Linked DNA regions of Mus musculus. The protein of the gene in region 3 purifies or fractionates together with the protein of the main gene of each other region. This does not show direct contact. Links are inferred from orthologs where the notes say so. Each region holds a gene or a part of one and is shown on either strand. Other genes may lie near its edges. The genes, in order: Tle2, Wdr5 and Cct4.

Region 1 (11,209 bases), on a different chromosome or scaffold from region 3:
ACAGTGCTCATATCTCATTCACCAGGCCCTGAGTTCTAGCCCTGGCATCCTGTACTTTGGATGTGGTGACGCTGGTGTCCTCGCAGAGCCCAGGTGGTGAAGGCTGGGGACATGCTGCACCCACAATCCCCTAGCCTACTTGAACACAAGCAGTTTCTCGCAGTGGGCACTCACCCTGCTGGCAGCTCTGTCCACTGCAGGAAGCCGAAAGGAAACAGATGATTAGGGGTTTGTAACCCTGCAAGGCTTCAGTGGGTGGAACGCTCCTTCCGGGTCAGAACCCGACCTCCCACATCCCAGGGAGATGCCTCTGCAGGAACAGCTAATGTGTTCCCAAGGACAAACAGCACGAACATTGAACCCCACAGCTGCAGCCCCTACTAGCTGTCACCGTCCCGCCAGCAATGGGTCGCCCACTCACCTCTGGACCCCTCGGCGTCCACACCCACACGGTCTTCCTTTACGGCAGCCACCAGCTGGGCCTGCGCAGCCAGTGCCCCAGATAGGGCCAGCAGCCCAGTGGCCCCGGCACCCACCAGGCCGGCTGGGCGCGGGGTGAGAGGCACGGGGGGTGCGTGGGACAGCGGCTGGAGCTGATTCTGCTGCTGAATGGGGAGAGGATGGCCTGGGGGAGGCGGGCAGCGAGTGGCGGGGACAGGGTGCACAGAGGGTGAATGCTAAGTGCAGGGAGGTTAGCACCCACTGCGTGCCTGGGCTGGGAGCAGGGCATCTCCTAAGACCAGCTGGGGCGACTTACCCCCAGGAGGCTGTTCAGTTCCCCCACGGTCACCTGCTTGGCTCGGTCCACAGCCTGGAGCACCTGCTGCTGATGCTAGGGCCAAAGGGGATGTGGGCACTAAGCCACAGGCTGTGCAGTCCAACTCTGTCTGTCTGTCTGTCTGTCTGTCTGTCTGTCTATGTGTATTTCTGCATGTGGAGGGTGGAGGCTGCTGCTGTCTTTCACCGTATTTTGAGGTGGCTCTCACAGCCCAGCTGGAATCTAGCCAGTAGCCCTAGGATCTCCTTCTGTCCCTGTCTCCCCTGCTGCAGTTACAGGCAAGGAACACCACCCCTCACTTTTCCCAGTTGCTGGGGATTTGAACTCAGGTCCTCATGCTTGTGGGACACCTTCCCCAGACCCTCTCTGACTGCTTAACTGACACTTCAGAGACCTGGCCTCTTCCACAGGCTCTGGGGCCACAGTTCCAGGTCATGCTTTGCAGGGCCTACTGGACCCCTAGGGATGCTGGGCAGTGTCCCAGCCTCAAATCACTTGCTAGGAGCTCCGCGTGACGCCACACTCTGTCCACATATACAGTGTGTCATGAATAAGCACCACATAGAAAATAAAATACCTGTATTCCAAGCATCCACACGCCAAGTGCCCAAGTACCCACATGCCAAGTACTCATACACTAAGCACCTACATGCCAAGTATTCATAAACCAAGCACCTACATGCCAAGTACCCACATATCAACTACCCACAGGCCAAATACTCATAAACCAAGTACCCACATGCCAAGTACTCATAAACCAAGCACCTAATGCCAAGTACCCACATATCAACTACCCACAGGCCAAATACTCATAAACCAAGTACCCACATGCCAAGTACACACATACCAAGCAGCTACTTGCCAAGTACCCACATACCAACTACCTACATGCCAAGTACACATAAACCAAGCACCCACATACCAACTACCCACAGGCCAAGTACCTACCTACTAAGGACCCACTTGCCAAGTATCCACATACTAAGCATCCACCTCAGAATGTGCAGCCTGGGGCTGGGCATGCAGGTCAGGAGAGGACCCACCCAGCATGCTTATCCCCAGCACAACAACATTAAATATGGATGGATTCAATAAACTTGAGCATACATGGCTGGTGGCCTCACTGAGATGATCTGTCACCCACCCTCAGGGGAAAGGCAGCAGGTCCCACAGAAAAGCTGAGGTTGCTGGCTGTGTGGGGTACCCAGTGTGCCCATCCTGGGGTGGGACCTGCCCATGTCTCTGGAGGAACACCTCCACACAGAAGTGGCAATGGCCAACACCAAGGTCCTATGGTCAGCAGGAGCAAGGCAGGCCACGGAGCTTTCTGATGTTTCACGAGCTAGTCACACTGGTGGGTCAGCCTCTGTCTGTACTGATGCTGTGTTTTCAAAATCACTGTCCTAAAAATGCCTAACAAAACTTGCTAATCGGAGCCATCTCAAGTACATGGATGAACATGAAGCTCATTCGCAGGGCCCTGTGGCTTTCCCCACCATCATCTCTGGAGCTTTCCAACTCCCTTAACTGAAGCTCTGTCCCTGCTCTCTCCCCAGCCCCACTCACCCACCATGGCACTTCCTGGCCCTGGATTTGATAACTTCAGAGTTCTTGGGAATGGAAATCTGCAGAGTGTCCTGTGTGTGCCCTGGCAAGAGTCACCAAGAGTCATCCTGTAAGATTAGTCCCATAATTGCTCACCTAACTCTCAGGACACCCTAACCAGTAGGTAAGCACAGAGAGGCATGTATCTTGCCTAAGGACACCAAGTCAGGACTTGTACCAGCAGATGTAAGCCATGGGTACAGGAGCACCCCTAGCTAGCTCCATCCAGAGCAGAGAGCCAGGGTTAGAGAAATGGCTGAGTCGGTAAAATGCTTGTCATGGGAACATAGGGACCTAAGTTCGATTCCCCAGAAACACTGAAAAAAGCCAGGCATGGAGTGTGTGTACGATTCTAGCACCGGTGAGGAGACAGGAAGACCCTGGGACTCACTGACTAGACAGCTTCCAGGCCAGTCAGAGTCCCTGCCTATTTAGAGGGGGTGGGATGGCAAGATATCTCAGTAGGTAAAGATATTGCAGCCAAGCCAACAACAACCTTAGTTCAATCTTTGCAAACCACATAGTGGGAGGAGAGGACCCATTCCTGCAAGTTGACTTCTGGCCTCCACATGTCTGCTATGGCCTATGCACCTCTTCCCAAAAAAAATAAATTATGGGTTGGCTCAGTGGCTAAGAGCTCTGGCTGCTCTCTCAAGGGACCAGGGTTCGATTCCTGGCACCCACATGATGGCTCACAACCCATCTGTAACTCCAATTTCAGAGGACACAGCGTCCTCCTCTGGTCTCTGAGGGTACTGCACACATATGGTGCACAGATATGTGGACAAAACACCCATACATATAAAATTAAATAAATGCATTAAAGTGTAATAAAAGCAATCAAAGGAGAATGGCACCGTGGGAAGCGCACACACCAAGGCTGACCTCTCTCTGTCCTCATGATATGCACACTCATGGACATATGAAGGGCAGAATGCCCTTGGTCCTCACCCTCAGCCAGTGTCTAACCAGGCCCAGGACACCCTCCCTGCCTCCAAGACTCTGCACACTCACCTCCTGAGTGAGGAACGGGACCATCTGGGCACAGATCGCACTGAGGCGTTTCACAATCTCAGCCTGGTAGAGAAGCAACAAGCTGGGTGGCACTGGAGGGGGACAGTCACCTCCACCATCCAGCCCCCAGCACTAGAGGGGACAGTCACCTCCACCATCCAGCCGCCAGCACTGGAAGGGACAGTCACTTCCACCATCCAGCCCCCAGCTGGACTGAGCATTCGTGGAGCTGCCTGGCTAGGGAGTCCTGCAAGTCTGTGACACCTCCCCACCGCCCTATGAAGCCCTCAGAGATGCAAACATAGATGGACCGATGATGCCCAAGGCAGCACTGTGGTCATTCCCCGAGGCCCTAGAAACCTGTGTGAAAGAGTGTGTGTTTGTCTGGCATGACCCAGCTCTCTGCAGGTCTTTGGGGGGCTGTTCTGTGGTTGCCTCTGGTCGCCTACAAGGCCTGTGTCCTCCACCAGGCAAGGACCAGTAAGGACCAGCTCTCTGCTGCCCACATCAGCACCAAGTCCCACAGAAACCAGGGGAAGCAAATGGCAGGTGAGGCTCACTCAGCATCTACCTGCACAGAAAGGAGCCTAGGGTAGGGCTCCAGCATGGAATCATGAGTGTTCGGGGGCAAAACCTATAAATCCACTCATCAACAGATCTCTGAACCCTCAGGACCCCCTAGAGCCACTGGCCACTTTGGGGACTCAGGGTTAATTACAGACCTCAAAGTCAATCTCCACATAGAGTGTATCTCAGAACCCTAACACCATAGGCTGGAGTCTCAGAAGCCCATGGGATCAACCATGCAACTCCAAATGCTATCTCAGAAGCTCAAGCCCTCAGAACCTTCAGGGCTATCTCAGAACCTCCAGTCCTTGGAACTGTCAGTTATCTCAGAACTTTCAGGGCTATCTCAGATCCTTGAACCCTCAGAACCTTCAGGGCTATCTCAAATCTCAGATCCACTCAGAACCTTTGGGATGACCACCTGAAATGTGGATGAACTTAGTTAGACCCTCCCCGCAGACACCCGTACCCCACATGGTCACCTGTTTATGCATCTCAATGTTGAGTCCGTAGGACATCTCGTAGTACTGCAAAGGAGACAGTCTTGGCCAGTGTGGATAGCTGGTGCCACCCTGGGGACACTGATGGGGTGCAGCCTCGAGGGGGTGGTACGAGTATCAGGGCAAGACACAAACACCCTGAGCCCCATGGAGACCCAGACAGGGAACCCACAAGATGGATCACGGATGGGCTCAGAGAGATAGGACAATCAGGTAGTCCCCCAAATTGGAGGGGGGGGGAGACCCACAGAACAGTGCCTGGTATCCCAGCCTGCCCTTTTTAGGGAGAACACGGAAGTGGGCAGAATGGGCAGGTACTCCTTACCATCACATAATGCCTTTGCATTTCTGTCTTCTCGCTGGCCAGCTTCTCACATTCTAGCTTGAGGCTGGGCAGGAAGAATAGACAAAAATGGGGGTTGACTTGCCACACCCCACATGGGTCAGTTTCCACAGTGACAGGCAGAAGCTGCTGGCTCCCCATTCCTTTAGAAACTGTTCCCAGTCCTCTCGAGCCCAGATCTACTCCTGGGACCAAAACATTCTCAGGGAAGGCTTTCCCTGAATCCATTCATCTCACACTCTTCTGGGCACCACCTCCACCAGAAAGCCCTCCAGTAGGCCCAATGAGCCCCGCCCCTTGCCCTAGAAACCACGCCCCTCCAAGAGTCCCCGCTCACCCCCATGGGGCTTCCCAGGGCCCAGAACTAGGGCTCCCTCACCTGTGGTACTGAGCTTGAAGAAACTGGAATTCCTCTTTGATCCGGTCACAGATTTCCAGTACTGAGAACTTGAAAGGCTGGCCAGACTGCAGCGGGGTCTGAGGGGGAGAGTGGGAAAGGACACTAGGGTGAGTTCCAGGGCAACAGCAGGCAGGAGTCCCCTCCCTGGTCCCCACCTCCTGCAGCCAGAGATGGGAGTCTCCGTACTCACCGGGTGCCTTCCCTGAGGGTACATCCTGCTGATGGATGGGTGAGAGAATGGACCCCCCCAGCTTCTTGGAGGCTTGAGGATGTGGCAAAGGGACGCTGAGGTGCAGAGGTGGCGCTGGGGAGAGAATTGGGTGCGGGGAGGAGCAGGCAGTAGAATTTGGGGTGCTAAGCTAGAGCTGGGGTGCAAGGAGACTGAGCCTGGAAAAGCTAGGAGAGAAGCCGGAGCTGGGGGAGGGATTTTTACGCAAAGAAAGAGCAGCCAGGGAGAGCCTGTCGGGGCAGGGGACCAGGACCCCGCGCTGCGCCCCCCCTCCAGCCAGCGCGTCCGGGGTTGTACAACCCAGGGGCAGCTGCAGTCAGCGCCGCAGGTCTGTGGCCGCCGCCCGGGGTCGGCGCTGGTGGCCTCAGTGGCTGCGGAGCCGCCTCCCTCCGCGGGGCTCGGCTGGGAGCCGCGGGCGGGACCCGCCTTAAGGTGGCACCGCCGCCCCCGCCTGCTCTGCTTCTTCGGTTCCAAGACCCGCTGGGGAAACTGAGGCTTGGGTTCGATCCTAGTGTTCCCGCCCCACCCCCACTCAAAAAAAAAAAAAAAACCGGGGGGAGAGAAATTAGGCAAAAAAAAAAAAAAAATCTCTGTGCGCGCGCCTCTGGAGCCGTGGGGGCTGCAAGTGGCTTCTCTGGGACAGCGACACTATGCCCTTATGAAGGATAAACATCCCCAAGATCGAAAGAGAGAGAGATACACACCTGTCCCAGGAAGAGCAGACCCAGGCTATGCTTGTCAACCAATGCTGCCCCACTCTGGAGAGATCCAGGACAGAGCCCAGGGCAGCTTGGTCAGGCTCAGAGCCCACTACAGACTTGCATGCTAGTGCCACCACCAGCCAACTGGGTGGCCTCCTCTATCCAGATTGGGCTCCTAAAGGACCAGACTCTTTAAACTTAGTGCATAGAACTCTTGTGTATCTTGAACCGGAACACTAGAAAATCTTCTGCAGGGGCTTCACCACTGACCCCGCCCCCAGACCTTCACTGGGAGATTCTAGGCAGCAGCTCTACCTCTGACCACACCCCCAGCCCTTCACCGAGGGATTCTAGGCAGAAGTCACCCATGACCACGCCCCCAGCCCCTCACTAGGGATTAGAGACTCCACTCTTGACCACGCCCCCAGCCCCCTTTTACTTTTGGAGGCAAGGCCTTGCTAAGTTGCCCCTGCAAAGCTTGAGCTTGGAATTCTCAGTCCCTGTAGTAGCTGGGACAACAGGCCTCTGTGTGCCATCAGGCCACCTCCTACATCCCATCAAGTTTAAGGGTGTCCCCCAGAGCTGAGAAGCCACCTGTCACCATGGAAACCCCCTTCCCCCCAGGAATCATCCTTTGTTTCCAACTCTGGCAGGACTAGACCTCAGAAGAGGAAGGAGGGGACCCACACCTTCAATCCCAGCACTTGAAATGCAGAGGCAGGCAGATCTCTCTGAGTTTCAGGACAGCTTGGTCTACTGTGGTGGTTTGACCATGCTTGGCCCAGGGAGTAGCACTATTTGGAGGTGTGGCCTTGTTGGAGTAGGTGTAGTCTTGTTGGAGGAAGTATGCCACTCTGGGAGTGGGCTTTGAAGCTCTGCCAAGTGCCTTAGTCAGACTTCTTCTAGGGGCCTTCAGAAGAAGACACAGAACTCTCTGCTCCTCCTGTACCATGCCTGCCTGGAGGCCTTCATGCACCTGTCTCGATGATTATGGACTGACCCTCTGACTCTGTAAGCCAGCCCCAATTGCCTTGGTCATGGTGTCTGTTTACAGCAGTAAAATCTTAACTAAGATATCTACAGAGCAAGTTTCAGGACAACCAGGTTCTACACAGAGAAACCTTGTCTCAGGGAGAGGGAGGGAAAAAAAAAAACCAAGGAAAGAAACCTGAGCTCTGGTCCATCATTAAATCAATCAATAAATGTATGCCTGGTGCTACTGTGAACTACTATGCACTGGGAAACAGTGGGCAACAATCATAGGGGAAAGACCTCACATCCACATTAACGTTTGGATCTCTGTGGGCAGCTAAGTCAGCTACAGAGGACAGGGGCCTTTATGAGACTTGCACGGGGCCAGCGCTCTACAGCAGGAGGATACTAGCTGAAAACCTAGGACTTCCAGGATAAAAGGACAGAATGGAGCTCTCTCTGATCAAACTCTGGGAGATGAGCCACAGAGCAGCCAAGATCACAGCTGGCTGGTCAGGAGCTGTATGAAAAGCAACAATTTAGACAAGCGATGACAGAGGAACAAACATGAGCCACTGCGATCATATGTGTGGGAGAGCGCTCAGTAAGGTTAACATTGTAGATGGAACTTTACAAAGTCCGTGGGCCCAGAAAGTGACAGTCTTTCTGACCTAGACAGTTAGCCCTCTGAGAATGAGTGTTCTGTAACTCCTTGGAGCATCTGCCAGAATCCCCGAGAGGGGACTGGGGGCGTGGTCAAGGGTGGATCCCAGCCTAGAATCCTCCAGCGAGGAGGCTGGGGCGTGATTAGTAGTGGAGCCCCCCTTCACCCCATTCCCCACCCTAGCATCCTCCAGTAAGTGGCTGGAGCCATGGCCAGGGGTGGAGCACTCTCAGTATCTGGACCGCCATACTCTCCAGCATCCTAGGCGTTGCCCAGCCTTAAGGCTGTCGCAGGCGCTGTACAAGGTGTAGGTCCTTCTACATGGACCATTCTTTCAGGTTCTGGCCACTCATCCTCTCCCCTGCAGAGGCCTGTGCTGGTGCCTTGAAGCGCCTCCCAGCACCTGCTACTAGAAACACGGCATCTTACTCCTCAGCCCTAGTTTCTGCTTTACTGTTTACTCATTTTTCCCTTGCAGACCGAGGAACACACCTGGCTCCTGGGAAGTCTGAGAAAACAGTGTCCCACAAGCTGTCCCCAGGCCCCAGCGGTTCCTGATTCCCGGCTTTTGGTGTCTGAGAACTTCTGATCCCCAGAGGCCCCCGGGACTCCAGAATCTCCACTCCCTGAGCTATCGCCTTTGCCAACCCTCACCATCTCCCCAAATCAAGCTTGTTTGCTATTGGTTGCGTTTCCCAATCTAACCCAGGCTGGTCTCATCTGGGGAGTCAGGGTCGCAGGTGTGTGTCACCGTGCTTACACTGCCAAGATTTGCTCAGACCAGCCCCACCCCCATGTCCCACGCAGCACCCTTCCTGCTAGTGACCCTCAACCTCGGTTCTCTAAGCCTATACACTCTCCGCTGGTTTTCTATTACCCGGAGGACACATTCCCTCTTAGCACTATTTGTGCTGGCCACACCCTCTACCCTCCCCTATTCAGGTACCCTGTCATGATTGAATGACCTAATTTGAGTTCTCTTTTCCTGGAATCTCTTCTCCCCCCTAAAGCTATCTCCATCTTATTCTAAGATCAGCCCAAGGCCACCCGCTGCAGCCTCCCCAAAGAAGGGCAACTGTGAAGGAACCCAAGGCCAAAGGGAGCCTCCTAGAGGGTGGGAGCTCCTGGAAGGGGGCCACTGCCCCTCTGTTGTGCGGCCTGGGAAGCCACAGCCTCTGAGCTTCCGTGGAAGCAGAGGATATGATCAGGGGTTTCCTTTTAGAATGCCTGAACCCCATCCCTGGACAGACACCACACCCGAAGTGGGGAGCACCCTCAGCATTTCCCACCTTCCTGGGCCACTTTTTCCCATTCAGCCTGGTCATGGATCCTACACTTTGCAAAGTGGGGCTCAGCGCCTCAAAGTGCGCCCCTGCCTCAGTGTGCACACAGGCTCCGTAGTTCTGCGCGGTGCAAATAAAAAACAGAAAAGGGAAAAATCTACTACTCAGAGCCGGGACTGCTCGGACCACCTTAAATCAGACTAGCCGCCCCGCTGCCGAGGGACCCGTCTATCTCCTCCTTGGTTGGTCGGGTATGCCAGCCAATCAGCTCCCGAAGATCCCACATGGGTCTCTGACGTCACCAAAAGCACTGGCCAATGAAGGCTGGGTACCCTGTAGCCAATAACAGAGAACGGTGGTCTGGGATAGTCCAATAGGAAAGCTCCCGATGGGGCTGGGGCGTGCAGCTCCTCCTCCCCGACACCCCCCACCCCTCGTGAGTGGGGCCCCGCGTGGTGGTCCCTGAGGATCTTGGACCCCCTTTTAAAAGTAAAAGCCCCTTGAAGCTGACCGTGGTAGCGGATTCCTGGTATTCCAGCACTTGAGAAGCTGAGGCAGGAGGACCGTTGTCATGTCGAGCTTAACGTGGACTACTGTCTCAAAACATTTTATATTAAAAAAAATAAAAGTAAGTCCTTCAACTCGGTGGCTACCTTGCCAAGGCTCAGCAGCCAAAGCTTCCTTCGGCCTGTTTCAGAGATAGAAACAAACTGAGGCAAAGAAGGCAACTTGGCCGTTTAGGGAATGGCTGCGATTTGATTTTTGTCCCAGCTAACTTCCCAAGCTTAGTTAGTTTGACCCATTAGATCACAAGAGGGGGTAGAATAGGTTTACAGGGAGTTGTGAGGTTGGAGGTGCCGGGTGTGCCTCAATTTACCAGAGTGGACATTGCTATTGCGAGCAAGCATTCTGGACCGGAAAAAAAAAACAACAAAAACTACGAATCCCAGAAGCTACCGCGCGCCGCATCTGCTCTGGCTGTCAATCAAAGTAACGTGGGTCTGCGCCCCCGCCCGCCGCTTCCCTCCTGCCAGCTCCCGCTCCCTCCCCATCGGCTCCCGGCCCGGCGCGGTATAATTACAGCCCATTGATCCGACCCGGGCCGGGAAAGCGACTCCCTCAGGGAGGCCAAAGCCTTTGGCTTCCGACAGCGCCAGCCTCCCCTTCCCCGCGCCCCCAGCTGAGCCACTGGGCCACCAGCCAGGCCGGTCCCCTCCTGCTGGCCAGGGCTCACGGGTGACCTCCGAGCCCCAGTTCCCTGCCTGTCTTGGCGGGGGGGGGGGGGGGGTGGGAAATCACGCACAGGAGCGCACACACAATCATTTTCTCCTTAAGAATACGGGGGAGCCATCCCCTCCCCGCAACTTACTGCTTAGTTTTCCCATAGAATTGCCCCCTGCTGTGGCTTGGGCTAGGCTAATGAGAGGGCTCAGGAGGGGAGAAACCCGGGACAACCGAGCCTGGAGTCACAAAGCTGCTTAGAAAATTCCCAAGACTTCCTAGATGTAGGTGTTTTATACTGGGGCTCTGCAGAGGGCATAGGAGTTGGCTCATTAGAAATCCCTCTAACTAAACACTGGTCAAACTAAAACGGGGAGCCCTGACCTCTGACCTTGCTTGTGTGCCCCTGATTCAGCTTCTTACGATGACTAGAAGTAGAAGGAGGGTGGGCTGCAGCTTGGCATGTGGGAAGGAAGTACCAGGGTTGGCTGAAGATGTAGGCAGTAAGTGAGCAGCTAGATAGACAAAGGGGGCTTGTGAACCCTGGAACCAAGCAGGCCCTGGTCCAGGCCTCCTCCCGAACCTGGAGGTACCAAAACAAAAAAAACAAAACAAAACCAAAAACATTCAGTGAGATTAGAAAATGCTTACCCACAAGGCATGGTGGCGCATGCCTTTAATCCCAGGGCTCAAGAGGCAGAGGCAAGCATATCTGAGTTCGAAGCCAGCCTGGTCTACACAGCGGAAAGCCAAGACAAAATGCAAATGTTTAACCAACATGACTGTTCTACAGGGTCCCGCGAAAGGGATGATGTTTACTGCTACCTACATCTCACACCCACAGAGGCAGAGGCCGGGACTTGATTTCCCCCCTTCAGTGTGAATCCCATTCTAGCCTTTTCCCCAAGCTCAAGAACCTTCCACAGCTACCC
Region 2 (9,436 bases), on a different chromosome or scaffold from region 3:
ACCAAGGAGTTTCAAAGCTGATACACCCTGGGGATAAACAGACCCACTCGCAAAGGTGTCAGGGCTGCACCCCTCCTCAGGAACCCACTGACAGGCAGTCATACTCAGGCCCACACGGCTAGAACCAAGTCCTTAGCCAAAAAGGAAGGTGGAAACCTTTAAGGCATTGGGCCATGGAGCAACACACTTCTCTTGGAAGGTGGAGGGAGGCTCATGAACTCCAAAAAGAAACTTAGTCCCAATAAACTGAAAGCTACAGGACTTATAAGGCTCCTCCCCAATTGCTAGGGAGAGGCTGGCTCAAGGTTCAAGAGCACTAGCTGCTCTTCCAGAACTCAGGTCCACTCACAACCATCACAAGGATCAGACCCACTCTTCTGGCCTCCATAGCCACCAGACACACACATGGGATATAAACACAAAGCACTCGTATACATAAAGCAAATATTTCTGGGCCATTCTGGAACTAGCTCTGTAGACCAGGCTGGCCCTGAACTGACAAGAGATCCATGGGTCCCATACCTGGGATTAAATGTGTGCCACCAACATGGGGCACATCTTTAAAAATGCTAAGCAGAGACTCCCACTGTGCCTCCCACTGGCTTGGGGAGCTCCAGGGCTGTCACTCAGGCTGGGCTGGCTGGTTTAGGACACTCACTGATCAAGTTGGATTTGTTACCTGGGTTAGACCTTAAGTTCTCTAGTCTTAGTAACTAGACTTTAGTTCATGTCTGCCCAGAAAAGGTCACAGCCTGTGTACACCAAGAACACAGGGCACCCAGCAGAAATCCATATAAAGCCATTCCATTAGGCCAATGTTGCATGAACAGCTGCTTGTGCCCAGTTCCAAAGCCACTTATACTAAAGCTACTGACACAGGATCCATGACACCGTACTTCAGAGATTTACATTAAACCCATCAAAAGTAAATTATGCAGACTTGGGAGCAGGGAAGACAGCTGAGTGGATAATACACTTGCCACATAGACCTGAGAATCAGCATGCATCCCTAGCACTGGTGTAAATGCAGGGCAGGCACAGCAGCCTGCCCGCCTTCCCAGCATCCACAAGGCTCCCAGTTATGCTGCCCGGCTAGACTAGCCAAATTGGAAAGCTTTGGGTTCAAGTAAGAGAACTACTGAGGTGGGGAGCTATCAAGAAAGTTATCTGGCATCACTCTACACACATGAACCATCACACATATGCACATTACCTAAAAGAAAAGCAAATTTTTTGGGGAGGGGTTGTGCTGAGCAGATGGCTTAGCACTTGAGAGCACTGACTGCTCTTCAAGAGGTCCTGAGTTCAAATCCCAGCAACCACATGGTGGCTCACAACCACCCGTAATGAGATCTGACGCCCTCTTCTGGAGTGTCTGAAGACAGCTACAGTGTACTTACATATAATGAATAAATAAATCTTTAAAAAAAATTTTTTTTCTCCCTTTGGTTGTTATTTGAGCCTTGGTTTGTGTAATCCTAGCACTAGCTCCGCAGACAGGCTTTGCTTGAACTTAGACCCTCCTGAGTGCTGGAACTAAAGGTGTGCTCCTCCACTGCCTGTTCTGCTAAAGAAATCCTTATTGAGTGCCAACCAAGTGGGAGGGAATGACAGGTAATCCTCTGATCTCCACACACCCAATGAATGCACACAGAATGAATTCCTGGAAAAAACAAACTTATATGGAACAAAATTACAAGGCATGAAAATCTTTATTTTTAAAAAGAGAATGTATTTTTACATAAATCTACAACAGAGTTCAACTGTAGAAAAAATAAACTATACTCGGGGATACTGTGCTCGACATGGCAAGCAAGCTCCCTCCCTCAGGAGGAGGCCGCACACCAGGCCACAGCTGGAAGGACCTTACTACCCTCCAGAAACCCCAGCAACATGCCCACAACATTGACCAGAACCCAGGTTCATCTATCCAACAGACGCCAGGGGCCCCAGAGCCCATGTCAGTGTGACAAGCCACCCTCTTTAACAATGGCTTCTTCGATGTGATAGCCCATTTACACACCATCTCCCTCAAGGAAGTGACAATGTATGGGGTTTCTTTTCCAATACCTTTGGATTCTTATTATGCACGATGGAGGGAGAAAGGGCTGTCAGGACCACAGCTGGGGACAAGCCTTGGCAAAGGCAGAGTAGAGCAGCTACTGCCCTGGGTGATGTGGCTTCAATACACATCAGTGTTGGCCTCACAGATGGTTGCTGCTGCAACCAGAGCAAACCCAGAATCTCCTTTCCACCCATGTCTGTGCCCAGCAGCCTCCGCCACCCATCTGTACTCCCAGAACCTCTGCAGTCTGCTCCACAGTAGGTCACCCTGGGTTCAGCCAGCAGCAGTTGTGAAAATGCTGTGTAGTCCTGAGCTTGGCCACTACCTCTTTCCAGTCCTGGTCACCTGAGGCGGTGACCTGGGGCGGGGGCCAAGGACATAAGAGAGGTTTGGTGGGTTTAGAGGCCAAGGCAGGAAGCTGTACCTGCTGGGGCAAGCACCATATTGAACTCCTCCCTCCTGCACAGGTGACCCTGAGCCTCTCACAGAATAAAGAGGTCCAGAACCTCACTACATGGTGCCTTTCCAAGACTTCCTTCCACTCTTTCTCATCTGAGGTTCTTCCTCTCCAACACTCAGCACCCACAGCAGCCACTGGGAAGAAGAGGCACAACAAGGATCCATCCTCCCAGAGACCTTTCCAACTCCTGCCAGGAAGGGAGGAGGGCTTTATAAAGCCAGGTGTCAAAGAGCCTGGTCAGAACTCAGGGCCACACCCAGTCCATACCCACCTTTTATTACAGTGTGTGTAGCTTACTGAGTGATACCAGTGAGACAAGGAGACATTTCAACCACTGAGAGGTCAGTGTTGACCTATGAACTCCAAAAGAACAAAGGGACTTGACACGGATACAACTTACAACCTTTCTGTGTTTCCAGAAACTCATGGAAGCACGCTGGGTACTATTACAGGCAGGAAAATTGAACAAGCAGGCCAGGGCAGGAGGCAGGGAATGGGAGTAGGGCTGTAGGTCCTGTTCCAGTGTGCACTGGGCAATACAATACCAAAACAACAACCACAGAGAAAAACAACCCATGAGGAGCTGAACTCACTCTTGTAATAAAAAAATTAAAAATTTGTTGCCTCTGAGCACAGAACAGACCAGGAACTTCCCCAGGCAGAGACAGAATTGGCAAGAAATATCACAGTGGCTATCAAGACTCGGTAGTGTGCACTCCCCTGAGCCGACATCTTCAGATAGGAGGTGCACCAGGCCTGTCAACCCAGCCTGGCCCCATGCCTCTGCCCCACATGTGTTTCTTGCCAATCCGGGTGGCTTCCTTAAGTCTCCCATGGAGCCAGGACTTAGCAGTCACTCTTCCACAGTTTGATTGTTTTGTCGTTCTCTAACGCTGCTGAGGCAATGATGTTCTCTGTCGGGTGACAAGCCGTGGAAATCACAACATCTGAAAGGAGAGTAGTCAGGGAGCCACTCTAGGACAAGCAGTCCCAGCACATGCCTCACTGCCCTCAGGAGCACAGGGAGCACCGCAGGGTTCAGGGGAGTGCTCAGAATGCCAGAATAGTAACAGGCATCTTAGCCTTGCTCTGCTGGGCACAAGGCACTTGGTGGGTACCCAGCAGGGTCTGCACACCTGTCTACACTGGTCTCAGGACTGACTATGCCCACTTGCCCCCTACTATTCCTGAGGTTGTTCTACCTGAGCACAAGGTAACCATACATCTGGGCAGGGATACTGGCATTACTGAGATGGCATGCAGTCCACTAACCCTGCTTGCTCCCTGGTGCTCAGGTTCCACAGCAAGTGTGACCAAGCCACTCCCAGCTGAAGACAACTGCTTTTTCAGAAAACGAGCTCTCCACTCCTTAGGGTTGCAAAGGAGCACATGATATCCCTGCCATCCCTGGCCCGCTTCAGAAAGTAGACAGGGAAGAACTAGAATGAGGTAACTCCATAGCTGGACTAAGTTTTGCAGGGGAAACAGAAAACCAGCATCCCTGAAAGAGGCTGAGCCTACAGGAAATGTGGGCTAGACACTCTCCATATTCATGGAGTCCTAGTCTCTAAAGTGAAGTAAACAAGCTATATTCCTATGAGGCTTGAGTCTGACTTAAGACCCAAAAGCCAGCCATGTCCAAGACCCTAGATAAGAGCCCTTGATGCTGCCTCCAAGGCTGATCATAGGCCTTCTCAGGCCTGCAGGGCTGGGATGGCAGGGAAAACAGAGTAGCAACACCTGCTGTGTGTCCCTAAACCCCAGAGACAACCAAGCACCTTGGGGAACTGAGAGGCTCCCCTGGGTGGCTCCACCCACCCGTGTGGCCTATCTGCAATAACTACCCACCTGTGTGACCCTGCAACTTCTGCACAATCTCCTTGGTCTGCAGATTCCAGATATACACCAGGTTATCTTCAGAACCAGACACAATCCACTGCAGCATCGAAAGAACAAGCAGGCAGTGAGGACAGGCAAGAAAGACATCAGGTGATATGCTGAATAGGTAGCACAGGCAAGCTGGCTGCGGTTACTCTAATTAATACCTATTTCCCCAATTTAGGGACATGCTAAATGCCTCCCACGGCACCCTCAGTCACTGGATCTATCCAGTCACCACCTGCTCTTAGATCTTCAACCATATCCAAGTGCAACACACCACAGATTCATTCAAAACGACAAGTGTGGGTTTGTTCCATAGGCTTAGGGATGCTTCATAAAGACAAAAAGCCACCTGTGATGGGTGGCCTCTTAGAGAGCTAGCAGGATAACAACATCTCAGTGGAAACTCACCTTCCCGCCTGTCACGGAGAAGTTGGCAAATATGCAGTACTTCTCATTCTTGTGGCCAGTGTATGTCTTCAGGCACTGAAAAGGTAGGTGTGCATTGTTAGCACCCGTGGTTAGCTTTCATTCCAGAGCATTCCAAATTCTGGGTACATACACCTGACTGTGTGAACATGCTCTCTAAATATTCTAGACATACACAAGGCCCAGACTTTAACGTGCAGACTAGTCATTCCTAAAACATATCTTTAAAGGGAGTTGTACCATACTTGCTCATCAGAAGAAGATGCCCAAGTCCCTCCTGCTGCAACTCATGGGTTAGCTATACCCCCCTCAACCTGTTACCTGGGACTGGCATGCAGGCCAGACCGGCCACATGCCTGAAGCTCACCTTCCCCTTGCTGTAGTCCCAGAGCTTCAGTGTGCTGAAAGACAGAGAGTGGGAGTGAGGGGCAGGCCATCTTTGGCACGCCTTGCCTCCCCTGATGCCACCGTATCCTAACAACCGTGAGTCAGGAAAGAAGATCCTCTAGTTCACCAAGCCCAGCCACTCCGTGACACACAAAAGCAAACACAAGGACCTTAGTGCTCAGCTCAGAAACAGGCTGAAGAAACAGATTGCTGGTTGTCTTCCCAAAACTAGCAGTTAGCCAGAAGCAGAATGTGGAAAGCCATGTTGGCTCCAGAAACACCCAGTACAGGTGCCACAGGAAGAGACTCATGCCGACCTTGGAGAAGAGTGGAAGACTAACCAGAGGAGTTACAGAGACAAAGTTTGGAGCTGAGATAAAAGGATGGACCATGTAGACACTAGCATATCCGGGGATCCATCCCATAATCAGCTTCCAAATGCTGACACCATTGCATACACTAGCAAGATTATGCTGAAAGGACCCTGATATAGCTGTCTCTTGTCAGAGTATGCCTGGGCCTAGCAAACATAGAAGTGGATGCTCACAGTTGGCTATTGGATGGATCACATGGCCCCCAATGAAGGAGCTAGAGAAAGTACCAAAGAAGCTAAAGGGATCTGCAACCCTATAGGTGGAACAACATTATGAACTAACCAGTACCCCGGAGCTCTTGACTCTAGCTGCATATGCATCAAAAGATGGCCTAGTCGGCCATCACTCGAAAGAGAGGCCCATTGGACACGCAAACTTTATATGCCCCAGTACAGGGGAACGCCAGGGCCATAAAAGGGGAGTGAGTGGGTAGGGGAGAGGGGGTGGGTGTCTATGGGGGACTTTTGGTATAGCATTGCAAATGTAAATGAGCGAAATACCTAATAAAAAATGGAAAAAAAAAAAAAAAAAAAACTAACCAGGATAATGCCATTCAGGCAGCTCTCAAGAGCTAACTTGGCCAGGTTCCTTAGAGACTTTGTACAGTGTGTGCCAGATTAAGTGAGCACCTAAGAGGAGGTCATCATGTATGGCAGTGAGATTATGCTGCGTGAAGATGCTCAGAGCCTGGGAACTGGCAGGAACAACTAGGTGTCAAATCCTTCTCATACTAAAACTAGCTAGAGTGGACAGTCCTTTCTTCAACCCCTCAACCCACAACCCAAGAACGAACTCTTAATGCAGATATAAAAGAGTTCAACTGGACAACTGGGAGAAGAAACAACACAACAGACAGGAGAGGAACCCCACCAACGAAGAAGACTGTGAGCTCACTCCTCAGGGAACTGAAGCACTCACTTGTCCAAAGTTGCAGCCAGGATGTATTTGCCATTTGGAGAGAACTTCACGAAGGACACTGGAGGATTGTCATCATCTACACAGAAGAAAAACAGGCTGATCTTTGGCAGAGTCGAGATGCAAGTCAGCTCCCAGTTACCCATGTTGACTGTGTGGGGACCCTGCCACCATCACTCTAGAAGGACACCAGAGAGCTTTGACATGCCATCACCTTCCCTGGCCGTTCACATTCTTAAGTCTTCACCCAGTGCCCTGCCAACAAGCCTCCACCACATAAGGAAGGAGGCCCAAAGCTCTCCAGCACTGCTGAAGAACTGATCCCCTGAAGAAAGCTGCCTGACCTAGGGGGTCTTAGAGACAACCGCCCATTCTTCAGCCAAGCAAGTTCTCCTTTCTTGATGGCCTTGCCTCTGCCTCCTGAAGACCAGGTTGCTGACTTTAGCCTCAGCATTTGGCAAGCGGGGTCAAGGCTGGGGTGTTGCACTGCTGAGCAGCCAGGCCTCCAACAAATTGCCCACATAAAAGCTGCTTTCCAGAGCACAACAAAGTCATATCCTTCTGCACAGTGGGCCAATGCGGAGAGCGGGGAGGGCCCTGCCCCTCGCCTGGGTAAGGAGAACGGATCCTGAGGTGGGCCTGCTCGGCCAGCCAAGGAAGCATACCAGGCCCTAAAGTGTGCATACAAGAGGCTGGTGTACCCTGACACACACATTACCACAGGGGGTTCGCAGGGGGCTCCGTTTCTCGTGACTGGTCACAAACACTGAAAGGGACACGAGAGAGTAACTGGGCCACATAATGCTATTAGTTCGGCTGACATGGAGCAACACCTGTGCGCCTTTCCAGGCCACCTCTGAAACAGATGCCTGCAGAAATCAAGACCTGTGCCACACCCTTAATCCCACCCAGCATTCCAGGGTGCAAAGGTGAGGCAGATCTCATTTTGAGGCTGGCATGGACTACAGAGTATCAAGACAGACAGAAATATAAACAAAATCTGTCTCAACAGCATCCCATCCCCTGCAAAAGAATGTCTAAACGTTAATGTCTAAACCTGAAGATGAGAAGAGAAATAGACCTTGGGCCAAACAGGCCTGCCTACCTCAATCCAGGCCTTACTGCCCATTGCCTACCCAAATCTAAATCCTGGCCATGCACCTGGTTGCCTTTCTCAGACTAGAGTTTAGCCAACAATAGATATAAAACAAAGCACCTGCTGGGCAGTGGTGGCGCACGCCTTTAATCCCAGCACTTGGGAGGCAGAGGCAGAAAGATTTCTGAGTTCGAGGCCAGCCTGGTCTACAGAGTGAGTTCCAGGACAGCCAGTAGTGCTATACGGAGAAACCCTGTCTTGAAAAACCTAAAAAAAAAAAAACCTACAAGTTTCAGGCACTGCTGAGATGGCTCATGCACTCGATGCACAGACCTCACAGTACAAGAGTCTAACTCCTAAAAGCTTTCTCTGACCTCTACACATGTGCTGAGCACAGGGAAAAACATACACAAGCACATGGACATGTGTATACTGGGAAACACACAGACCAATTTAAAAAAAAAAAAGAAAATGCACAGATCACAGATTTTGTTGGGCATCAAATTACAATCTTTAATCCCAGCACTCTAGAAGCTGGTAGATCTCTGAGTCCAAGACAAGCCTGGCCTACAAAATGAGCTCCAGCCCAGCCAGGGCTACACAGGGGAAATCCTGTCTGTCTGGAGGGGAAGAAAAGGGGTGGGGAGGGCAGGGCACCACAAAACCAAAGAAACAGAATTTCACTGTTCCCTAGGACAACTGTTTAACTGAAGCAAATGTAACCAACTCTAGCATTCCCTCTTGGAGCTGCATGTAATGGCTGCATCTAAACTGGATATGTGCCTGCACATCATCCCACAGTAACCACTGCCTCCTGGCACGGTACATCTGTAGACCCAGTGGTTTTTTTTTTTTTTTTTTTTTTTTTTGGTTTTTCAAGACAGGGTTTCTCTGTATAGCCCTGGCTGTCCTGGAACTCACTTTGTAGACGAGGCTGGCCTTGAACTCAGAAATCCGCCTGCTTCTGCCTCCCAAGTGCTGGGATTAAAGGCGTGCAACACCATGCCGGGCTATACCCAGTGTTTTGAACCACCTCAAGACTTAAACTGCAGTACAAAGTACACAAGTCACCTGCAAACACTGCACCATCTCACAGGAAGGACCTGAGCATCGGAGGATTCTGGGATCAATGGAAAGTCTTACAACCCTCTCCCAGATATTACTGAGGGGTGACTAGACATGCTATGCAGCTTTCTAGCTAGCTGGCTTTTGTATCTAAGATGCTGCCCTGTAAATGAAGGATGACACAGGGTAGCAGATGTTCACAAGCGTTGATACACAAGCACTAGGGGTATGCTGGAATAGCCGCTGAGTAACATACTCAGCACCAGACAGTTGCCTGGAAGAGAAGATTGGGGAAGGGGATGGTAAGACAGGACATTACTACCTGACATCTGTGACTGCTCTGAAAAATCAGTAAACCCCAAGAGTGGACACAGAGCAAGAAAAGCTTAAAAGCCATTATCCCAGGTTGTGTCCCGAAACTTATGAAGACTATCCATTCACAACTCAAGTAAGTGACAGTTTTGAAGAGAACATCACACAGATGATGGTTGAGGTGGGGAGGGGTGTTGAATATGAGCATGCCATTAAGAGCTGGGCACAGAGAAGCACAAGGGTATGCATGTCATCTGTAGGCAGAGTGATATCAGAGGTCACCATACCCATGACCTGTTCCCTGGCCACCTAAGCTGCCATAGAGGATGAGCTCCTGATTCTTGGCATTCTATCCTAGCAACCTGGCAGGCCAAGAGCACTACACTCGTTTCCCTAACAGTCTAAGGAGGTAGCAACTTACCACAATGCCTATCTACCCCGCAAAGCCAAAC
Region 3 (10,236 bases):
AAGTATAAAGACTGGCACCACTGGAGTTCAGTTTTGTTTGTGGTTCAAAATCCAAGCCTCACCCTTTCATGTCTCCTGGTTTGCCACCATGGACTCTTAGCCCTGGCTGGCCTGAGTGCTGGGATTAAAGGTGTACACCACAATACCCTGCTATTTCAACAAAACAAAATAAAATACAACTAGAGGTAATCAAAATAGCCTGACAAGTTGAGTTTGATCCCTGAAACCCACAAGGTTAAGAAAACTGATTTGTTTCCAGTTTGCCTTATTTCCAAGTACCCTATCATGTACATTCCTCCCCAATATACAAACACAATAGGCAAAAGGAAATTAAAGACCTAACATCTGGCACACACCTGTAATCTCAGCATTCATTTAAGGTTGACAAGGGAGGATCAAGAGCTGAGATAATCTGCAGGACACAATCAATTCCGGGCCCAGCTATATGAGCACAATCTGAAAACTAAAACCACCAACCAGGATAGGGGGACGGTTCATTTGGTAGTATGCCCTGGGTTTCAATCTCAAGAGCTGTACAAACTGGGCGTCACAGTGTACATCTGTTAATTCTAGCACTTGGAAGGTACACAGATCAAATGTTCAAGGACAGTTGAGATGTCTCACAAAACAAAAACCTACAAACCAAACAACCACAAGTGAACAAACAAAAATAATGTTAATACACAGAATTAAGCTGTAAGATCAATAGGTAAATGTTAAAATTTGAAGGTAGTTTACCTATAGGCAGTTTCTCCCAAGTATCAAAAACAGTATAATTTTAAAATGACAAGTTAATATGGAGTTTAAAACCAAGTATTTAATGTTTTCATTAAATTGTTTCAATACAATTTCAAACAAATGCCAACTGGAAGACAATGTCCAAAAACTCTGAAGCTTCCAGACAAGGAACAAGGTGGTTGTCCTTCATTCCAGCCACAGTACTTCTGTCCATAATGATGCAGTCAACCATCCTTTTATCCAGATTATCGAGTATTTACCTGATGAGAAAAAAACACTTAGGTTTCAAAACTTGTAATCACATAACTTGTAATCATGTTTAAGATAAATCTTTGCTTCATTTTTATGGAAAAAAAATTAGTCATGAATTAGTCTCTTCTTGATGAGTAGCAAGCTTTTAAGCAAAATATAAAACTTTTAAGTATGCCTTTTTGACTTCCCCTGGAATTTAACTCTATTCGCTTACCACATCATCGATTTTCAGAATGCTCCGCACAGTTTCAGTTGCTAAGGTCAAAGCACTGACTGACACCAACAGAGGCTGAACAACCATTTCCTCCAAAATGTTGGAGATCCCACCCTGCGGAGAAGCAGATGCCTTCAGTATCTGATCACACAATAAACACGAGCACAGGTATCACTCTTCTGTACTCATCTGGCATGCTAATTGCTGATACAACAGAATACCCTGTTCACACTTTATATCTACTTAACTAGTGCCCTCCCAAAAGACCTATGAGGTACTGTTCTTACAACCCAGGAAGTCAAAGACCAGACTAAGTTTTACAAGTTAGTAAATGACAGTAAATAAATGCTATTTCCCATGGCATCATCTTTATTCTGAAGAACATGCAGTAAACTTGCCAGGTCTCAGGTGTAAATCCAAAATCACACTACTTTTAAGTTCAAAAGCCTACTAACCAACAATGACAAAATTGTAAACGTTTCCTTCCACCAATCTGTTCTTCAGCAACTCTAAGCACCAAGACTATTACCTTTCGGACATTAATGCCTGTAGTTTTTTCTCCTTGGGCATGGCGGTTTCTTAGCTCTGTTACTGTAGAAATGGGATTCAGGCCAGCATTTTCAGCTAGTGTAGATGGAATGACTTCCATAGCATCCGCGAAAGCACGAACACAGTAGGACTCCATACCACTCAGTGTTCGGGAGTACTCTGTCAGTCTGAGGGCCAGCTCTATTTCTGGAGCACCACCTCCTGCAATAAGAGCTCTGAAATTCACAAATATTTTTAGCTTATTTTTACCCCAAAGGAAGCTACTTTACTAACTTTATAAAAGTCAAGATAAAGCAGTTTGGTTGTCTTTTAAAGGTAAGCTGCCCTGTAACTTGGATAAAGTAGAGGAAGACACAGAGCTTTTGATCTTCCTCCCCCACTTCCTAAGTGTTACAGATGTGCCCCACCACATCTGCTGTATGCAGTGCTGGGTGGAGGCTGAACTGGTCAATTACTGTTATCAATGGTAGGTATTATATCCCAGCCTCAAATTAAAGTCTTCAGAATATTGAGGCCAGCAAGATGGCTCAGCATGTAAAATGCCTGACACCAACCCAAGTTTGATCCCTGGGACCTACATGATGGTAGGAAAAGAAGAGATTGCCCCAGGACCCCACCCCCCGAGATGCTACATTGTGCGCGCGCGCGCACACACACACACACACACAGAGTAATAAATATGATGCAGTACCTTTTCTTTACTAAGCATCGGATGACACAGAGAGCATCATGAATGGAGCGCTCAGCTTCTTCAATCACCAGTTTGTTAGAACCACGTACGACAATTGTAACTGTTTTCCCTGGGCTTGTACAACCTGTAATCTTTAGTGAACAAATTTCAAATTAAGTAATTGGCTAAAAGAAAAAAACAAAAAGGTAAGAAAAAAAGGCTTAACAATATATTGTTACCTTGAATAGTTTTCCAGAACCATTTAAACTGACTTCCTCTGCTAACTCAGCAGAACCCAGCATGTCAGCAGTGAACTGGTCAATGTGAGCAACTGGTTTGGTTCCAATTGTCTGGAAAAAGATAATCAAGTGCACATATCAAGACAGCATTGTGCTAGACACAAAGCTCAGTGGAAGAACAAGCACTTGTCTGGTATTTTATTCAAAGCACTAGACTCAACACTGGACTGCAAAACAAAAAAAAACCACTGCTGGGCCTGGAGACATGGTTCAGTAGTTAAGAGGCTGGGTGCTCTTCCAGAGTACCCAATGGCAGTTCATAGCTCCAGGTGGACCTGAAGCCCACATGAGGTCTCTAAGAGGACCATATGGTGCAGAGAGATACATGCATGCAAGCACATACATAAAAACAAAACAAAAAAACTTAAAATTAAAAACTAAACCAAACAACTATCCATAACATACAAATCAAACCCACAATACATGTTAATGGATATTTTTGCACACATTAATTTTACCTTACAGATGAATTCAATGTCTTCTCTTTCAACGTCCTTAACCACCATAATCTTCATCTTATTCAGAAAATGTAATGCAAGATCACTAAGGGCATCTCTAAAACACAAAAGTGTTATCTTACGTTTAAAAAGTGTTATTGTTGAGTAGTTAAGATTTTAATTTTACTCTTATCCAAATGGCTAATTATGAAGGGAAACACTTTTAATGTTCCATTTACAAGTTCAAAATTCTCTCCCTCTTCCTTTTGAGACAAACTCTTCCTATGTAGCTTTAGTTGTCTAGAACTGAGAAATCTGCCTGCCTCTGCTTCCTAAGTGCTGGATCAAAGGCTTGGGACATTATTATACCCAGTAGAAGTTCAAAAATTCTTCTGAAGGTTTCTAATTTTACTAGAAAAATTACTATGACACAAAACTGTACATGACAAGTGGGCTGTGATTCTTAAGAAGTGAGCACATTTTGCTAGGTGACCGCTTACATTATTCAGAAGCACAATTCTCACAAACGAGCAAACCAATCCTAGTAACAGCAACCCTGTGATCCAGCAAGACAGACATTACCGTCCTGATCAAAGCTAAGCAAAAACCAATTTACTCAAGGGCAGAGCCACTAAATGACTAGAGACTAGAGCAGCCTCTTACTTGCTTACAAAGGACTCTCTATACCTTCTGGCATAGCTTATTAGGGAAGTAAATGGGAATATGTCTATCTATTTAAAAATAAACAAAAAACACCCCAGAAATGGAAAAAGAAAAAGATGAGTTCAAATTTGAGACTTCTCTTGTCTATGCAGTGCCCACAAATACTATTTTTTAGTTAATTAGTTCAGCAGTGGTTTTTTCACCGTTTTGAGACAATTTCACACACCCCACAATAGCCTAGAATTTTACCTGGTAGCTGGCCATTGACTCCATCCTCCTGCCTCAAGCACTAAAACTAAAGGCATGTGACACAGCACCCAGTTTAAGTCATGCTGGAGATCAAACCTAAGGCTTGTAGGCAAGCAGTAACAAGCTATATCCCTCGCCTCAAACAGTTTTAAACAGCTTTTTAAAAAATGTGGTTTTCATTTTTTTTCCTTTTAAAAATAAGTGTTTTGCCTGTACTCAATCATATGAACCATGAGTATGCCTGTTGTCCCTGGAGTTCAGAAGAGTGTGTCATTCCCTGAAACTGGCATTACATGTTTGTGAGCCACCATGTGGATGCTAGGAGGCAAGCTTGGGTCCCTGAGCAACAAGTGACCTCAAAAACTAAGCCCGTTCGTCTTTTCACTTTCATCTCACTCTCTCCCAGACTGGCCCGACTTGTAACCTTTCAGCCTCAGCCTTCTGAGCACTAGGACTGCAGGCAAGAACAACTATGTTAGACCTTCATTTTCTTACAGCCTTGATCTAAAAAAACCCTACTGGCCATGTTTAAGAGAAAATAGTCCTGTATTTATAAATGAAAATATGATGCACCAAAATATGCACTTTAGATTTCCTGTGCTTTAGAGACTAAGTGTTTAAGAACTGCTGGGTAGAGGCAAAGATGGCTCAGTAGTTAAGCAGTGCTTGCTACTCTTGCAGAGGGCTTGGCTTGGGTTCAGTTCCTAGTTTCCTAACAGAGCAGCTCACAGCTGCTTAGAAACTCCAGTTCGGGGCATCCAACACCTCCTTCTGATCTCCAAGGATCCAGATCCTGTACACATGCAATGCACATACACATTATTTAAAAGTTGCTTGTAGGATCCCCAACTCAATTATAAATCCAGGGAGAAGAAAGTAAATAGAACAGACCTCAGGATAGACTTCTGTATGAGAAGGACATTACATCCTGTTTTCTTAATTTGCTTCACCAAATTTAAAATATAGGCTCTCTCCTCTCGAAGCACTCGATCCATCTGGGCATAGTCAGATACTACTATTTGATTATCCATCTGATGGGAACAAGAACACAGTAATTATTTTCAGCAAGAGATTTTAATGTTAAGTGAAAGACCAGCCCACACCTACCAGTTATATAGGTATGCACAGAAAAGGGTCTAAAATAAACCATTCTATTATGTTTTATTTCAGTTGTTTTTGTATTTTTTTTTAAAAGTCAGGGTTTCTTGGTATAGTCAAAGCTGTCCTGGAACTTAACTTGCTCCAAACACAAGGTTGGCCTTGAATTCAGGAGATCTACCTGCCTCTGCCTCTAAAGTGCCAGGCATTTGTCAGTACCGCCTGGCTAAAGCTTATTTTTCTTTTTTAATATAAGATTTATTTTATGTATGAGTACACTGCAGTTATCTTCACATACTAGGAGAGGGTATCCTATCCCATTACAGATGGTTGTGAGCCACTATGTGGTTGTTGGGAGTTTAACTCAGGACTTCTGAAAGAGCAGTCTAACCACTGAGTTATCTCTCCAGCCCCAGCTGATTCTTTTCAGTCACACCCATTACTGATATTTTGTATGTTTGAAAGACAAGACCTCACTATGTAGCTCACAGCTCAAGCTGGCCTTGAATTCACCATCCTTTGAGTACCAGAATATAGATACATATGACCACACGAGGCTCTACTGCTTCTGAAACTTTTTGCATGTGCATTTTTGGTAACTGAAAAATCCAAATTCCCCAAAATGAAGTTGTTCTACATACCATATGTATTACAGAAATAATTTTAATTCCATCCTTTTTACTCTGTGGCTTGTCATCATATATAATGCACAAAAATTAAAGATCAATTTTCATATGGCTATTTTTTTGAACAAAATACTGAACACACCTATATGTTGGCAGAATATAGTAAAAACAAATCTGAGGTACCAACACACTTTTTAGAGAATCATACTAATATGGTAATATCTTTCATAAAAAAAATTTTTATAGTTTGGCTATCAAGTTAGTCTAAGGCTCCACTTGCACAAACACAATCTTTGTGGGCTCCAGCAGGTAATATCTCAGGAAGCTAGACACAATCTGCAAACTCAAGGAATGAGTACAACACACACACACACACACACACACACACACACACACACACACCTTTCTATTTTATGCAAATGCCTATAATCAGTCTCCACCTTATTACTTGTAGTAGCAACAATTTCTGATTTTGTCTCAATTTTATTGTTTTGAATCTACATTTTAAAGACATCACTAATACCAGCATTTTCTATTTTCATCTTAAAAAAACAGATCTTACTAGAAAGTTAATAAGTAGGAAACCAGCTTGGATTTTACTTACATCTGTTTTAGGAGCAGATAAGCAAAACTGAATAAGCCCAATCTTAGCCTTTTCAACTCTTGTTATGCCAGAATTTGCTACTTTCTGTGTGAGAACGAGGCCTTCCACCAGCTCACAGTCATCTATTGTCCCACTAGGAAAAAATAATCAGAGCAGAGGAAATGCTTTGGTCTTACTCATTCTCAGAACCCATTCTGGGACCTCTTGGATATACTTCCATCCTACCATAAGGAAATACAGGCAAACCCTTGAGGATACCATATATAATAAAGTTTAAGTCAGCAAGTATTTCTAATGTTCACTTTCAGAGTTATTTTCACTTATGTTACATCCACTGGCCCAGGCAGAAAGGTAATCGGACTAAGAACATCTTTGTTTTTAAAGGGTTTTGTGGAGACAGAACCTCACTCTAGCTCAGCCTGTCATGGAACTCACTATTTATTCCAGGCTGGCCTTGAACTCATAGCTAGCCTCCCACCTCAGCCAATCAATTGCTGGCACTAAATGTATAAGCCACCCCTAGTTGTTCTTCAAAGTTATCTGGTTTTGGCAAAACTGAAATTGAAATCAGAGACGCTTACCCAAGCTTCTTAACTATTTTAATATCTCGAAGATCTACACTGGTAGCTGTGGCTGGGTCAATCACTTTCATCACCGCATTGACACTCATTGGAGAGAGTAGACTTGAATACTGAGAGACAACCTAGATTTACAACAGAAAGTTACTTCTACAGAAGCAATAATTTAAGAAATACCGACTTTAGATTTACAAGGACTTATTATCACCTATTAGGATACAGTAGATAAGACACTAAAGTTAAAGTTGTTTTCTCCACCCAGTTTGCAAATTGCTCCATATACAAGTTAAGAATATATATGCTTTTCTTTTATTACAACACTTGACACTATCAAGATTGCAAATAGCAATAAAGGAAAAAAAGGCATTTAATTTTATGTGAAGAATTCCTACCTAAGTTGTACAACCCTGGTTTTCCTAGAATGTATTTTGTAGACCAGGCTGGCTTCAAACCAGATCTGCTTGCCTGCACCTGCTGAGTCCTGGAATCAAAGGTGTGTGCCACCATGTCCAGCTAAAAACTCCTTATTCTTTCGTTAGCTCTACTGATCATTTTACCTCAATCTTAAAACCAATTCCGTTATAGAAATTATTATTACTAGTCTTCTTGAGGCAGTGTTAGATACAGTTTAGCAATTAATGCTCACAACATCATAGCACACCGTTAACTGTAATTTAATTCTCCTTAGTGGTAGTCTCACCTTTGAATTCAATGAAGTAGTTGCGCTATTTAACAAAGTTTCTCTGTCGCTCAGTTGCACAGGTCGAGACATGTCAGTAAGGATTTCAAGACCCTTTTCCAAAGCTTTCTGGAATGACTCGGAAATGATGGTTGGATGTATACCTGCCATTTATGAACCAAGTTAATTACAACCTAACTATTTATCACTATTTTAAAATGTTTTACTCATTAAAATGTCAAAATAACCTAGAAATCTATTTATTTCTACAAAAAGAAGCCTTGCAAAAATAAGAAGCAAAATAGAAATTCTTGACAAAAGAGTAGTTACTTCAAAATTAAACCCCACATTACTTAATAGTTTGGCTTTTTATGTTTGCCTTTTAACAATTTTTTCTCCATCATTCTTCATTAATGAAAAGTATATTATACTCTACATACCTTTCTGCAGAAGTTTGGTACAGGAGTCTAAAAGAGAGCCAGCAATGATGACAACCGACGTGGTGCCATCTCCTGCTTCTATGTCTTGAGCTTTAGACAATTCCACCAGCTGTGTGAACAGAACATGACAAGATGCTAAGAAATGAGACCCTAACAGCGAACTCAGAGCATGACATCGATGTCACCTACACATAGCTAGAAATACATTCCTCTTGACATCTGATTTTTACTTTACTCTAGGTTTCATTTAAAGATGAAAATCCATGTATTAATGGCGCACAAAATTGTCCTTATGATTTCTAGTTTAAACTGTAGATTGTAAAGAGTTCTCAGGCAGGGCAGTGGTGGCGCAAGCCTTTAATCCCATTACTTGGGAGGAAGAGGCAGGCAGACTTCTGAATTCGAAGCCAGCCTGGTCGACAGTGAGTTCCAGGACAGCCAAGGGCTATACAGAAAAACCCTGTTTTGGAAAAACCCAATAAACAAACAAACAAATAGTTCTCAGAAAATTCTGTCTGAGGTCCTGTCCAAAAGCATCACTCCTCAGGGTTGAGGATGTGGCTCAGGAATGCCTGCCTAGCACTCAGAAAGCCCTGGGGGTTGGAGCCCCAAACAGCATAAAGGAGATGTGGTGGTACACATGTAATACCAGGACCTTTTTGCTACAAAGCAGTTCTAAAGGTTCTAAACTGGCCCAGGCCAAAATGATACCCTGCCTTAAAAAAAAAAAAGTCGTACAGGTATCTTATATAGACGGAGAACCTATGAAGTTATTTTAAACTCTATTAAGTTTTTCTGAAGTGATCACATAGAAACATACCATTATTTAGAAAGTCAACCTTTTTTTGTTGTTGTTTTTTAAGACAGGGTTTCTCTGTGCAGCCCTGGCTGTCCTGAAACTCACTCTGTAGACCAGGCTGGCCTCGAACTTAGAAATCCACCTGTCTCTGCCTCCCAAGTGCTGGGATTAAAGGCGTGCGACACCACGCCCGGCAGAAAGTCATCTTTAAGTAATGGAAGGAGACCTTTTTGAAGCATGCTGTCTACGATAGGCTCAAATGATCCTTTTGCTTCAGAGTACTGAAGATTATAGGAATCTGCGGTACTCAGCTGTCCATTCTAACAGAGAGCAATTCCTAAAGCTCATTTTTGTTAATACAACTTCTCACTTGTCACAAGACTAATTGTGACTCCTAAATTATAATTTTTGATAAAGACCAGTGAGAACTGAACATCTGATATGTGATTAAAATTATTTTGTTTTCTAAGAACTGTGGGTGTTTAGTTTAGTTCTTGTTGAGCTTGCACAATGCCATGGGTTCAATCCACAGCAGTATCAACAAAAAGAAAAAAGATTAAAAAATAAAATAAAACAACTTACAATAGAACACCTCACAAAGAACAGTATCTTAAAAATGTACATTTTTAGCATAAAGTTAAAAAGATTCTCCATGTTTAAATAGTATCAAATTTAAGTCTATTGAGTATCTTACAAGTACACTTAAAAACAAACCACTTAACAAGACAGCACATGCCCATACATATGCTCGCTGGATTGCTGCCAAGTTCAAGGATCTACAGTGACTAGCAGGTCACTAGGGCTACTGAACAGGATTATGTCTCAAAAACCAAAACACTCATGTACACTTACCATTCTGGCTGCTGGATGCAATACCTGCATTTGTTTCAGAATGGTGGCACCATCATTTGTAATGGTCACATCGCCTTTTCCATCTTGAATCTGGAAAGTTTTGTTTTTTAAAACTTTAATGCAATATTCTACTAGTTCTATTCCATTTACTATTACATACAAGTTAGTTTATATATGTATATTGCTTAACTCAAAATACCTTTCCTTAGTAAAACAATGTAAGAACATTCAGATCAACGGGCTCTGCCCGGGCTGCTCTCTTACATGTGTGTATGTGTATATATTTGAGGACAGCGCTCAGAGATGGTGTGTGTGTGTGTGTCAGATCCTCTGCATCTAGTAATGGCGGCACAGCCTGGGCTCTCTGTAAGAGCAGTATGTGCCCCTCTCTCTAGCCCCCGCCCAGGGTATGTAAAGGAGTCTAGAGGGAAATCATTCAGTAAAGTTCAAGCATGGAGGCCTTAGTTCAGATGCCCCACATCCCTTGGC

Evidence for each region.
Region 1: the proteins of Cct4 (region 3) and Tle2 purify together in Homo sapiens (affinity purification with mass spectrometry; 3 studies listed by BioGRID and IntAct, with this or other methods). This does not show direct contact. The link is inferred for Mus musculus from reciprocal best matches to the Homo sapiens genes CCT4 and TLE2.
Region 2: the proteins of Cct4 (region 3) and Wdr5 purify together in Homo sapiens (affinity purification with mass spectrometry; 3 studies listed by BioGRID and IntAct, with this or other methods). This does not show direct contact. The link is inferred for Mus musculus from reciprocal best matches to the Homo sapiens genes CCT4 and WDR5.

What each region holds. Positions count from the first base shown.
Region 1 is NC_000076.6:81,569,880-81,581,088, reverse strand, and holds the start of Tle2 (transducin-like enhancer protein 2), read right to left. Parts: upstream 5,803-11,209; 5' UTR 5,422-5,802; coding exon 5,398-5,421; intron 5,285-5,397; coding exon 5,187-5,284; intron 4,854-5,186; coding exon 4,790-4,853; intron 4,561-4,789; coding exon 4,447-4,560; intron 3,758-4,446; exon of another isoform or gene 3,619-3,757; coding exon of another isoform or gene 3,547-3,618; intron 3,461-3,546; coding exon 3,398-3,460; intron 833-3,397; coding exon 758-832; exon of another isoform or gene 606-757; coding exon 422-605; intron 195-421; coding exon 175-194; intron 1-174.
Region 2 is NC_000068.7:27,528,793-27,538,228, reverse strand, and holds the end of Wdr5 (WD repeat-containing protein 5), read right to left. Parts: intron 6,591-9,436; coding exon 6,515-6,590; intron 5,237-6,514; coding exon 5,203-5,236; intron 4,893-5,202; coding exon 4,818-4,892; intron 4,462-4,817; coding exon 4,374-4,461; intron 3,473-4,373; coding exon 3,372-3,472; 3' UTR 1,694-3,371; downstream 1-1,693.
Region 3 is NC_000077.6:22,993,899-23,004,134, reverse strand, and holds the end of Cct4 (T-complex protein 1 subunit delta), read right to left. Parts: intron 9,838-10,236; coding exon 9,748-9,837; intron 8,206-9,747; coding exon 8,097-8,205; intron 7,821-8,096; coding exon 7,678-7,820; intron 7,103-7,677; coding exon 6,981-7,102; intron 6,533-6,980; coding exon 6,400-6,532; intron 5,103-6,399; coding exon 4,963-5,102; intron 3,278-4,962; coding exon 3,181-3,277; intron 2,774-3,180; coding exon 2,663-2,773; intron 2,576-2,662; coding exon 2,445-2,575; intron 1,969-2,444; coding exon 1,734-1,968; intron 1,319-1,733; coding exon 1,205-1,318; intron 999-1,204; coding exon 984-998; 3' UTR 799-983; downstream 1-798. UniProt on the Homo sapiens protein: Component of the chaperonin-containing T-complex (TRiC), a molecular chaperone complex that assists the folding of actin, tubulin and other proteins upon ATP hydrolysis.